Arabidopsis thaliana: one gene and its partners. The protein of the gene in region 3 interacts with the protein of the main gene of each other region in a pairwise test. Each region holds a gene or a part of one and is shown on either strand. Other genes may lie near its edges.

Region 1 (5,191 bases), about 13 Mb from region 3:
ACCATCTTGTAGCGGTATCATTCAACGTGATGATGTCCATGAAGAGAAGCCACATTACGGCTCTTTTCTTCATCAGAGATCCTTCAGCAGTTCGATGATTCTCTCTCAGCAGCATATGATGAGAAGCCCTTCACATTTCCCACTATGCTCTCCTTTTGGTGTCTCTACCTATCGGCCTATGTCGACTTCACATATTTCAGGCTCAGATGAGAGTGGCGATGTGAATCATGTTGCTGAAACTCTTACTGATTTAGTGCAGCAAGATACAGTCATCGAAGTTGCCGATGCTGCTATCGATTCCTCCATCCAATTAGATTTTGTTCAGCAGATAGTTCATAATGTGCATTCACTCACAGGCTTAAACTGGTAAGAAATCTTCTTCTTTTTTTTGTGTTGGTCAACTTTTAAATCATGTCATCCTTGGAGTTATTGTTGGATCACTTTTTTGTGTTTTTTTACACCCAAAAATGACCATGTCTTATATCAATCATCTCTGTATGTTCTGTGATTGCAGGTGGGCTTCCATTGTTTTTACCACCTTTCTAATTCGAGGAGTGACAATCCCTCTCATGATTGAATGCGAAAGATGGTTTTCAAAGAGGATGGTAATAAAACAATGTTCTTTCGTAAACACATGAGTTTTGTGTCTCAACCAACCAAAACACCGTTCTTGTTTGTGATTGGCATTACTTTCTATTTATACTGTTCACTGTTTGAAACACCATCATCAATCGGAATCATAATGGGAGAACTAGAATCAACAAGCTTAATCCTTCCATGTTATGATCTCTATTCATTCATCATATCCTAAATACATTGTACATTTCCCCTAAAATCTCTTTCTTATAAAACAACAATACGAATATAAATGGCCAAGCAAACTACAAGCAGATCAATGGAGATTTTCAGAGTCCGATTTCTTGTAGATAAGCTTGGTATGAAGAATAGTATCCAACATTGAAACAGCTTCAACGATATTCTTGCCTTTGTTTAACATCACACAGCTCGCCCTGCATATTTTCAAAATGCAAAATTAGACAAAGAAACTGCAAATCTTACAAAGATCATGTCTAATGCAAAATATTTTACCTTTTTGCATTTGCAGCATCAGTAATCTCAGCTCTAGTTGGAACTCCGGATTTCACAAGTGATTCAAGAACCTGAGTTGCCATAATCACCGGTACACGAGCAGCTTTACAAATAGCTATAATCTCCTCCTGCATATTAGCCAATCTCTCCCATCCACATTCCACTGCAAGATCACCTCTAGCTATCATAATTCCTAAAGGATTCGAACACTTCATTGCTTCTAAAAGAATCAAAGACAAATTCTTGAATCCACTTTTCGTTTCAATCTTTAAAACAATACCAAGATCATCTAGTTTTCTTTTCTTCAACTCTTGTCGAAGAACGGTTATATCATGGACATCACGTATGAAAGAAATACCAACCATATCAGCATGTGAAGCTACATAATCAAGATCTTTAATATCTTTTGATGTTAAGCCTTTGAAATGGATATCGCTCTGCGGTATGTTAATGGACTTCTCTGATCCTAGTTTTGTACCTTTTGGACGTGCATGAGTTATGGAGACAATTACCTCTGAAGGACTTGTTCCTTTTATGACTCCCCATATTTTTCCATCATCAAAACCAATGGTTTCACCAGGCTTGACTGAATCAAACAAATAACCGGAAGGACAAGTTAACCTATGAGCTCCTGGAACAGTTACAGATGGTTCATCGAGCGATCCTTCTCGGGTTATGACTAGTAAATCTCCAACTTTTAGCCTTACAAAAGATTCTTTGGGAGGAACATCTACTACTCGTCCAACTAAACGTCTCCCTTTCTTTCCCTTAACACTTAACTCAGTTCCACTTTCTATGTAAGCAGTGTCGAAACATTCAGCCACAAACCCGGTACTGTTGAAAACATGAAACTCTTTTGAGATTTTAAGTCTCCTCTTTCTCCCTCTAGCGTCACATAGTCTTATAGAATCACCAATTTGGAGACCAGCAAGAAAATCTTGGCCTTGGACCGATATAGTAGCATCAGGGGAAACATGAGCAGGAGGTTCTGTTCCTGTGAGGCAGAGCCATACCAAAGCAGGAGAAACAACATTTCCATAAGCATCTTTCTTTGGTGAAATTTTCATCACACACGGACCAGGTTTTAAGGTACCAGTTCTGAGTTTTGGTCCTGCTAAATCCATATGAACGCGACATGGCATCTCTAACATCTGAGAAGTTCTTCTTACTCTTTTGATGATCTCACCCCAAATACTTGGATCTCCATGTGCACAGTTTATACGGATAACAGATGTTCCAGCTTTAAGAATATCAGTTATAAATGTTTCACTCAAAGTTGCTTCTTCACCAATAGTTACCATGATATGAGTACTTCTTCCCTCACGAAGTTTACCAAGTAATGACTCTTTGTATGATAATACCCTCCCTTTATCATTCTTCTTAGTACTTTTTCCCTTGGGATATACATTAGTCCAAGACTCCGTCACAGCGTTTTGATCGTTCATCAAAAGATTAATAGAGGCGTTAAGGTGGGCGAGAACATCCAGATTGTTGTTGTCTAAACTTGACAGACCAAGAGAAGCTAGATGACTGTTGAGCTGCTCAATGTCCAGAGATCTCAAAGCCATATAATGAACTAAGTTTGTTGCACATTCCAGATACTTACTGCAACAGACGGTACTAGGAAATTAGGCGAAAAATAAGTAATGCAAACTATATATAAAATGGTTAACAAACCTGTCACATAAGTGTAGTTGAGAAGCATTCCATTTCTCTGCTGCTAAGAGATGTGACCGAAGAGCATTCAGTTTTTCGATAACACTAGCCACATTATTGGCCCCATTGCTTCCAGAGAGGTCTGCTTCTGACTTGAGATGAGACATAGCATCTTTAGAATCTGGAAAGTCAAAACTCCAGGTACATTCTGTGGAGGTATTATCACCAAAGGTGGCTTCCAATCTGCTGAAACTTTCAGCTTCGCCTTTCCCGCGAGCTAAGGCAAAAGCTAAGGTTCTCTGAATAGGAAGTTTCATGTGATTAAGTGATAATGCATAACTTGTCTTCTTATGTTGGTTGTTTATGTGAGACCTGCTGGAGAAGCAAAGGATCTTGTCTCTCAACAAGTGGCTTGAATCAAGTCCTACCATATCGACTAATTGAATCACCTGAGAATCAAAACGAAAAAGGAGAAACTGTTATAGATTGACACAGAGGTTAAAACCTAGGCATAACCACAAAGACAAGAAACGAAACATGTATAACGCAAAGAAAGAAAACAAAAAAACAAACAAATTCCAAGTTCGTGAAAAGGACAAAAACAAGCCTACCACAAATCAAAATCCAGGAAACAAATCATATCTAAGCAAATAAGTTTTCTAGGCTACTGGAATTGAGAAAATATCTGGAAGGAATCAAAATCAACCGAAACTCATTCCCTAGAGGACAAGAACATGAGAAATACCTTTGTTATGGAGAAGCGCTTTGTTCAGATAATGTCTTCGCTCTCGTCTTGAGGAGAAGAAGAAGAAGAAGAAGAAGAAGAAGAAGAGAAGACAGATTTTTCAACGAAGAAGAAGAAGAAGAAGCAGAAGAAAGAATGATGAAGAATTTTCTTAATGAAATAAAAAAAGTTGTGGTTAAGGATAAAAAGGGAGTGTGGCGAGCGCGTGTCAGATTCATCTTCTCGGGGAATCTAGTAACACGGACGGATGAGGCTGAAAGGTCCCCATTATAAAACGACGTCGCTTTGTTTTTCTAAACCTATTCAGACAAGAGACCCAAAGATAGAAAAAAAAAGACCGGTCCATGCGGTTTAACCAAACCAATTCCGTGAAAACTGATTAATTTGGTTTATCTATTCCAACAATGGAAATTGTTTGGTAAATTTTAAAAGAGTTTGGGAAAGTAGCTCCTATTGTAAAAGAGTTTTATAATTAGACAAAGTCGTTTATGAATATATGAAACACTTAACTGACTATTTCAAATTTCAAATATATGTATAACTTTTAACCATGTAAGAACAAAAAAATAAGAATGGCTAAGTTTGCTTAATTAGATTTTGTAAAATTTGACACATTATTTCTAAATTACATTTTATTGAAACTATGATTCATTTATTGGATGTTTTTTAGAAAGTTTGTGAAAATTATTAGCGGATTTGTAAACTGAAGAATGAACATAAACCATTCAATCTTTTAGTTACGGGAATAATGAAACCTATAAATCGGTACAAAGTTACAAACACATTTCTAAGCATAACATTTGTTCAACACAACACTCTCAATAGGAATCTTATCCGTGGGAAAATCACAGTCTGAGTCCATTGTAGTTCTCTTATCCGGTAACAAACTGCACGGCTCCGGTGTAACCCTACTAGTAACTCCGGAGACATCCGTGCAGTTCCACTGCAGCTTCTTCGGGTCCGGCGACAAAGCTATAGTCACACTCGACATGCATAAACCCGTAAATGGACCATTCTTGATCCTTTCTAGCTTTGCCGAAATTGTAACGTTTTCTGCGGTCATGTCACGGTAATGGATATTGCTAATCTCCGGCAACGCCTTGGGATCAAACCCGCCTACGGGATGCAGCTTATACGAACCGGTCATCCAGAAAACGTATTTCATCGTCTTCATCGTAAATCTCCTAGCGAAAATGTCTTTGATGTAACCGCCACGTCCTATAGCGGTTTTGATTCGGATAGCGGATTGTGTGTTGATTAGTGTCACCTCTTCAGTTTTCGGAGAAGATGATTTCGATCAACAAAGGTCTTGATATCGACTTGAAACCGCCACTTCGATACTTCAACCACCATGACTTCCCTTGTCCATTAGTCGTTCTTTTGTTACCTAACAACAAATTTGATCTTATAAACTAAATATATAATTTTGATTCAATCTCATATATATATATCCATCAAACCATTTTAATGATTTAAGTTTTGTTGTGCTTACCGGTGATAACAACATCGGTTAGGTTACTTCCGTATACTAAACCAGTAAACCTTGCATCTCCGTATGACGGCAAAGGTGGAATCATAGGATATTCAGACTCATCCTGTTTGTTACAAACGAAATAAAACCAAATGTGATTATTTATCTCAAATAGAATGGTTGATATTTTTTAGTGCATTCATAAATAGGTGTACGATACTAGCTAAAAT
Region 2 (3,853 bases), 1.6 Mb from region 3:
ACAAAAATATGTGTCCTTATGCTAGCTCTTTTGGGAGGAAATTGTCTTGAGAGATAAAAACAATGTTAAGACTATATTTTTATAGGTTTTATGATAAGCGTAACATAAAAATCATATGATAAATCATTTATGCTTTTTCGTTTCTTTAGCTTTCTTGAACCATTTTTTTTTTTTTTTTTTTTGGTTTTAGTTAAAGCTAGACTTTGCCCTTGAGAGGTTATAAATTGAAAGCATAATTCTAAATTTATGTCGCATCGAGAGGAAGCGATGATAAGGAAAAACAAAAAAAAAGTTTGAAAAGATTCGCACCTGAGGTTGAGAACTTGAGATGAGAGGTTCTAACACCAATAATAACAAAGGCATCTAATTAACGTTTCTTTCTATAGTTTCGGATTAGAACTTTTGTAGTTTTGATTTTTCTTGCAAAACTATATACTGTATATTTGCCTTCCACTATTCCTTCATATTTTGTTGGGTGTGATAAGTAATATAGCTCTCAAAATTGTTCAAAGTCCGGAGGGATTTGGGTCGATGATACGTTGGATTAGAATAACTACTAAAATGTCATTGTAACGTATTAGGATAGAATAGTTTCTTAAAACTTTGTAAGCCCCACAAAATGCATGTTTTTCAGAAGGTGGGTATCTTTGATAAAGATTGGTTATAAGATGTAACAACCAATTGTATGTAGCATATATAACTAATTAAGATCAATGTTGAGTGTTTGTTCGCAACTTTTTACTAAAATATACAAAAGAAAGGATTAGTTGAATTGAATTTGTCTGTCGTAAAACAGCTTCACCTTTTTTCAAAACTAATTTCTTCCATTGGATTTCGCATTTTTCCTTATGAAGCTGCACAATGTGCATTACGGAATATATTCTAAGATTCCTATTAAAAAAGTTGTAACCAAATTAAGTAATAAGTACTCTAAATTTTAGTTATTTATACACATATACATACGTATGTACAGTTCACAAAATTGTAATAAAGTTCCATGGTGAAACTTTTGGAACGTAAATAAGCAAAAAAACAAAACAAAAGGAACCACCACGACACTAAAACATTTTATGAACAGCATTTTAAGACATTTCTGAAACGACATTTTATAAATAGTAAAATGTATATGTTAATATGTAATGTAAACTCAAATAGTTTATGTTAACACAAACTTTTGGTAAAGAAAGTAGCAATGACAAACACGAAATATTGTCTATAGCATATATAACGCCCTTGAAGTGGCAACTGTGGCATAATGTCCTTAATCTTTACACTGTATAATTGGCAAATTGGTGTTTTAGCTCCTTCAAGTTAATTTGTACTTGCGATTTTGTGTTTTACCTTGTAGGATATGCATATTTTTTTGAGTTGATTACTTATTAACTCCGCTCAGTGTTTCTTAATGTCGGAGATCAAAAAGCTTTAAGAAAATAGCATAAACCTCATGCATGTACTACTAAAACTTTGTTGATTATGATCAGAGTTTCCTAACTGTTTTGAAGTACTGGTTTGTTTCTTTTATCTCTTACCTAGCTTTGATTTTCTTTGTAGAAGCATTAACATCTACAACTATACAAGTGATGTTGAAACATATATACTTCTTCCAATATAATCACCATCCGGTATCATAATCGGATTAAATTCGGAACTTCTTTAGAACCAATGGCACTCATTAATCGACATTAATTTATTTAAATAAACAATAACACTTTTGTACTTTGTTTTGATATTCTTGAAGACTTTTTTGCAGTCAAAACTCTTTAACTTTTTTCTTTATATTTTAACACCAAAATTCTTTTTTTTTATAAACGAGTCTAAACTATTCACAAATGCCATAGACGAAACATCATATAAAATTCAAACAGAAACATGTTGAAATTTACATTAAAAATAAATACCTCCATAATATTCCACTCTCCTAATTATGTTGAATCTCTTAATACATTGATCACGTTATAAACTCTTTCAAACTACAAGTAACAACTTTTAAGCTAACCAAACAAAAAAACAAGGAACAACTGATGAATAACTTTTAAATTACTATCCTCTTCTCTTATTCCTCCACTCTCAAGATTCTCTACCCGTACAGTTTCTGAAGTTTATATATAGAATAGACCAAAGAGATGTCAGAACACAAGATCAAGTTATAGATTGATAGAAATATACTCGTACTAATATCAATATATAAATACTCTGATTCCATATTAACATAATAAAGTATTTAGAAACAATTTGAGTTTCGTAGGCTTATACACAGTTGATGGGAAGAACTGGGATCGCCAAAGCACCAAAGCTGCTGTTAAGGTCAAAACCATATCTTTTCTCATCATTCTTCTTTTATTTTCATTAATCAAATGCTATTAGCCACAAAACATAGGTGGACAGTACCCACATACACATAAATCATCAAGTTAATTGCTTAATAGATATAATTTTCTCTTCATATATTTTATTTTGGAAATTTTAACTTTACCAAAAAAAAAGTTATCATTTTGTCAAATCTAGCTAAAATAAATTCATAAAATAATTTCTTACAATTCAGTTGTTAAAAAAAAAACAAGTTTCTTACCAAAGATTTTTTCTAAAATTTTGATACACACTATAACAAGCTATAAAATGTGTAACAAATTTAAAAAGAAGTAAATGTAATTTTGTGATAATTAATGATGATTTAGGAGTTGGAAGCAATTTCAAGGGCGAGCAGGGATAAGCAGCAAAGCTGCAAAATCAAACCCGATGATCGTCGACTACTTTGAAGATATTTCCGACCATAATCTCAAATTTAGCGGCGAAGAGGAGAGCTGGGTCCCACACCCACGCACCGGAATATTCTTTCCGCCGGGACAAGAGTCGGTGATGGAAGATGTCCCTAATGGTGCTGCCTCCTTCGACATGACGTTTTGGCTTAGGAACGTTGACGGTGTTGATAAACCTGATCCTGATCTTCATCATCTTCCTTATTAATTATAAACAAAATTAATATGGTATTGCTTATCTTATGATTGTTTCATTGAGAAATGAAATCGTCATAAGGGGACACTATATACTACATGTAACTATATTAAATAATCTCAAGGAAATGAGGAATGGATACGTACAAGTTTACAACAACATTTCATTGTGATCGTTTTCATATGATGGATGAAGAGGCTCAAACTCAATAGATATTCGTTGTGACTTCACACTTGTGATTATGGTCTTGTGTGTGTGCGAGGTAATTTACACAGCGACTAATGTGAAAAGAATTTAACCAATAACTAATGTAAAAATAATATTATTTTTTCTTAGATGTGATCTCGTATTTCAACTGCATGCATGGTAAAAAGAAAACCATTAACAAATCTATAAGGTGATTTACCAAAAAAAAACGATAAAAGTACATTTTTGTCTGTGGGACAAGTGGAGTAAAATAAGAAGGTAATATTGGAATATATCAAAAAAAAAAAAAGTTGATAAATATATCAAAATTGTTTAAAGCAGCTTATATTTTGAAGTAAAAAAATCCCAAATTCCTCTGCTTTTTTATTGCTACCAAATACTGGCTGCTCTCTATTACTTTGGTTTATGAAATTTGATGAAAACTGTAATATTGTTTCGAATCTTGCTGAATCTATTAACTGCTTTGTTCTAGATCCTACGAAACAGTGTTAAAAGATTGGTCTAGATGTACTTGTTTTAATTAGCTGTATTAGTGTTTTCTTGAGAGATTGATATGGTAAGTATGGCCAGACTCTTTCACTCTCTTTTTTACAGTTTTGAAATCTATATATGAATTATATAGTTTTGAAATCGTAATTAAATCCCAGCTACGTAAGAAGTTTGAACTCGCAGTTTCCCGATCTTTCACCTAAAA
Region 3 (3,386 bases):
ATCTCCATGACCAAGCTGCCCATGTGTATTTGATCCACAAGTATATGCATGCCCTTCCCTTGATAGAAACACAGTAAAGTGAAGCCCAGCAGCCACCTGGTATAGAAGATAAGTTTGTCAATGTTTGATAGAACCAATTTAGAAAATCAATAGGTCTAGATAGGGTTGGTATCAATTCTACCTGCTTACAAGGAGTCCCCTTCAAAGCCTCAACAAGCTTAGGCCTAAATATTGGACGGCTAGTATCTAAATGACCACAGCAATGCGATGAATTATCCCCACAAGTGAGAACCTGTGCCGGATTTCAAATATGAGTGATTATGGCAAACGACAATATACTCACAGGATAGGTTTTAAGTGAAACAGAAGCTACCAACCTGTCCAGATTGCAATACGAAAGCAGAATGGTTCTGTGTGGCTGAGACTTGAGCCACTTGAGCAGGGAACGGAAACTCTATAGGTGTAAATGCTACACACTGAGTAGTTTCAGAGCCATGAGCAAGAACACCGGACAAACTTACACCACAAGAATAAACCTTTGAGTTGTTGATTAGCAAAGTGTGATACTTTCCTGTTGCAATTTGCATCTGCAGAAAAAATAAAAGAAATGCATCTGAGACTTCTAAACCAAATTAACCAAGAATCAACTTTCTCCATAGCAACTTCACTGAACTACCTAAAACTACTGACTATATGAAATGACAGAAAGCATACTTTGCCTTGAGAGGTTTCAACCATATCTGAGGATTGCTCAACTGACTGCAAGAAACTAAAAAGCCGCTTCCAGTTTCCCTCACAATTGGCAAAGAGCTCTTTCTGTGTAGTCAAACCCATTCCCACGTAGACAGGGTGCATAGAGCAAAGCTGAGACGCCGCATAATCAGCTAATGATCTGAATTTCAAAGGATAGAATCCATGGCTCCCTCCGAAAACCTTAGAAGTCAATTCCAAGCTAAGTAGATCAACCGCACTAAGCCTCCCAGAGGTCAACACCTCCAAGATCAAATGAGAAGGAAGATCCTCGAACGAAATCAAACAGTTTCGATCAGCCATTTCTTCCCTTCCTAATTCTAAGAACAGGGTTTCAAAATGACCTAATTGAACGTAAAGGACGAGACTTTGGGTTGCTTCAAGCTACTAGAGGATCAGATTTTGAGGCGAAATCGAGAGCAATTGAAGTAATGTATGAAGAACACGTTGGATGGTAGAAAGAGATAAGAAATCGAATAGGAAAACGGAGTTATAGATGAGAATCTCGCAGTTGGTCTATTCGAAGATCGGAAACTAATCATGAGAAGGGTCAGATCGCAAGAATCAATCCACCTGAACACGCCAGATTCTTCGAACTGCAACGAAGAACAGAACAATCCACAATCAATCAAACTAAACAAATCCCTCAAAAAGGAGAAAACTTTCGATTGAAAAACGTACAATTGAAATCGAAAATAGGGAACGAGGAATCGAGAAGAAGAAAAGAGGTTAGTGGTGATAGATCCTTACCTGGAAAGCAAAAGGTCTTGACTTTTTGGTTGCCCACTAAACAAATGAAACCAAAAAGTCTAAAAAGAACTTTTTTATATAAGAGAATGGTGAAAGACGTGTGAGGACGAATAGAAAATTAGGGGAAAATTCAATATCTTGCCTCTTAAGCTTCTTTCGTGGCGATTGTTCCTCTCTGTTTGCAGAATCTTTTGAGGCTTACTTAGTCGTCGGCTCTTGAATGTACTCTGTTTTATTGCTTTAGCTGAGAGTTTTATGTGTTTTCTGCTTCACCACTACTTTTGCTTGGTTTATGTTCAAATTAAATTGGTAACTTGGTTATTTGCATAACTATTTCCGGTTCTCCGGCTTCACAAAATCCTCCGGTTTAGTTTTACGGTCTGAGATTGGATGTAGTTTCCGTGCTTGACACGTGGAAGAAAAAGAAGTGAGAAGATGAAGAATCGGCCCTCCATATTTTGGGCTTTAGGTTATAGTAATGGGCCCAAAAGTGAGTCTCTCGTAACAGAGCAATTTTTAGACAGACGAAGAAGAAGAAGAAGAAGCAGAGAATCGATTGACACGAATCTTCATCTTCCTCTTACTCTTAATCAGGCTTGTTCTTCAGTTTCCATCACTTAAGGTTTTCGTATTTTCTCGAAAGATTCAACGGAAAAGATAGAGATAGATAGATGGAGGAGGAATTTGTTATGATTGATCTTGATGAAGTTTCAAGGCACATTGAGATTCCATCAGATGCTCCTTATACTTTATCAGTTAGTTCAAATCCATATTCTTTAGTTAAACTCTTTGCATTGGTTTTGTTTTGACTTTTGTTTATTATTTCTCAGGGTTTGGATACTTTGAATCCGGTGTTGACCATTGATGGCAAAATCAAGCTGGTGAGTTTTCTATAACTTGAGTTTGAGTAACTCTTTTGCTTAAACCATTCTTAATCGTGTTAGATTTGATGATCTCTCAGGTTGGAGAATATATTGAAACGATTGGTACATGCCTTGCTTTCTCTGAAAAGGGTTAGTTTCACTTTTCATCTTTATTGGTTCACGTACTTCTTTTGTCCCTTGATGTTTTTACTGAAGCTGATTTTTGAGGTTTCTTTACTTTTATTTTGGTTTTGCAGAAGAAGTTTCAGCAAGTGAAAACCAGATGCCACATAAGAAGATAATTGAACCTGTTGCAAAACTCCACAAGATTCTTAAGTTTAGATTAGCAGCATTAGACAATGATGATGGAGAAACAAAAACAAACAATTTGTAATAGTTTTTCCCTTGTTTAAGTCATTGGAGAGCTGAGTTATGGGTATGTGTAGAAAGGTTACAAATTTTTTTAAATGATTAGGAATGATAATTCTCATTTCATGTTAAAAGATTTTTTTGGACTTGCTTATTGCCAAACTTCAAAAGATTCTTAAAGTTTAAGTTATAAATTAGCATTCGACAATGAAAAATGCAGAAACAAAAAGAAGAAACCAATTTGTTACAAAAAAATTCTCCTGTTGAGGCCATTGGAGTTTATAGACTTGTAGTACATATCACAGAACCAGACGTACTGGATTACACACCAACAAAAGTGAAAATATCTTAGACAAGGGACACACGCATTTCTCATCAATAAAATCAATCTGGTGTTCACACAAATCTTACAAACAACAACATAGGTGTTGATGTTAATGTTGTAGAAGCTACTGATCTGGAAGTCTGTCTTTCAGGTAGTTCAACACAGCTTTTGTTCCTCTTTCTAGAATTGGCCTCCTGATACTGTTTTAAGAACGTTGGTGAAAAAGAAAATCAATCGATCTGGAAAGTTCTTGTGTTTATTAATGTATCAGTGTTTATCATTTATACCTTCTTAATGGGTTCCCGTCAAGTCGTAGAACCTCAAGTGTA

What was found.
Region 1: the proteins of AT3G15420 (region 3) and AT3G49160 interact in a two-hybrid assay, tested with the Arabidopsis thaliana proteins (one large-scale study listed by BioGRID).
Region 2: the proteins of AT3G15420 (region 3) and AT3G19550 interact in a two-hybrid assay, tested with the Arabidopsis thaliana proteins (one large-scale study listed by BioGRID).

What each region holds. Positions count from the first base shown.
Region 1 is NC_003074.8:18,221,240-18,226,430, forward strand, and holds AT3G49160 (pyruvate kinase family protein), read right to left. Parts: upstream 3,667-5,191; 5' UTR 3,491-3,666; intron 3,195-3,490; 5' UTR 3,177-3,194; coding exon 2,767-3,176; intron 2,695-2,766; coding exon 1,090-2,694; intron 1,011-1,089; coding exon 893-1,010; 3' UTR 639-892; downstream 1-638. Other genes in the region: AT3G49155 (F-box/LRR protein), read left to right, coding at 95-366, 515-638.
Region 2 is NC_003074.8:6,786,573-6,790,425, reverse strand, and holds AT3G19550 (glutamate racemase), read left to right. Parts: upstream 1-2,001; 5' UTR 2,002-2,260; coding exon 2,261-2,304; intron 2,305-2,495; coding exon of another isoform or gene 2,496-2,501; intron 2,502-2,675; coding exon 2,676-2,964; 3' UTR 2,965-3,299; downstream 3,300-3,853. Other genes in the region: AT3G19552 (uncharacterized protein), read right to left, coding at 2,496-2,501, 2,734-2,952.
Region 3 is NC_003074.8:5,207,075-5,210,460, reverse strand, and holds AT3G15420 (Transcription factor TFIIIC, tau55-related protein), read left to right. Parts: upstream 1-1,951; 5' UTR 1,952-2,171; coding exon 2,172-2,255; intron 2,256-2,330; coding exon 2,331-2,381; intron 2,382-2,461; coding exon 2,462-2,513; intron 2,514-2,620; coding exon 2,621-2,757; 3' UTR 2,758-2,886; downstream 2,887-3,386. Other genes in the region: AT3G15430 (Regulator of chromosome condensation (RCC1) family protein), read right to left, coding at 1-96, 182-292, 378-587, 715-1,053; AT3G15410 (Leucine-rich repeat (LRR) family protein), read right to left, coding at 3,182-3,257, 3,345-3,386.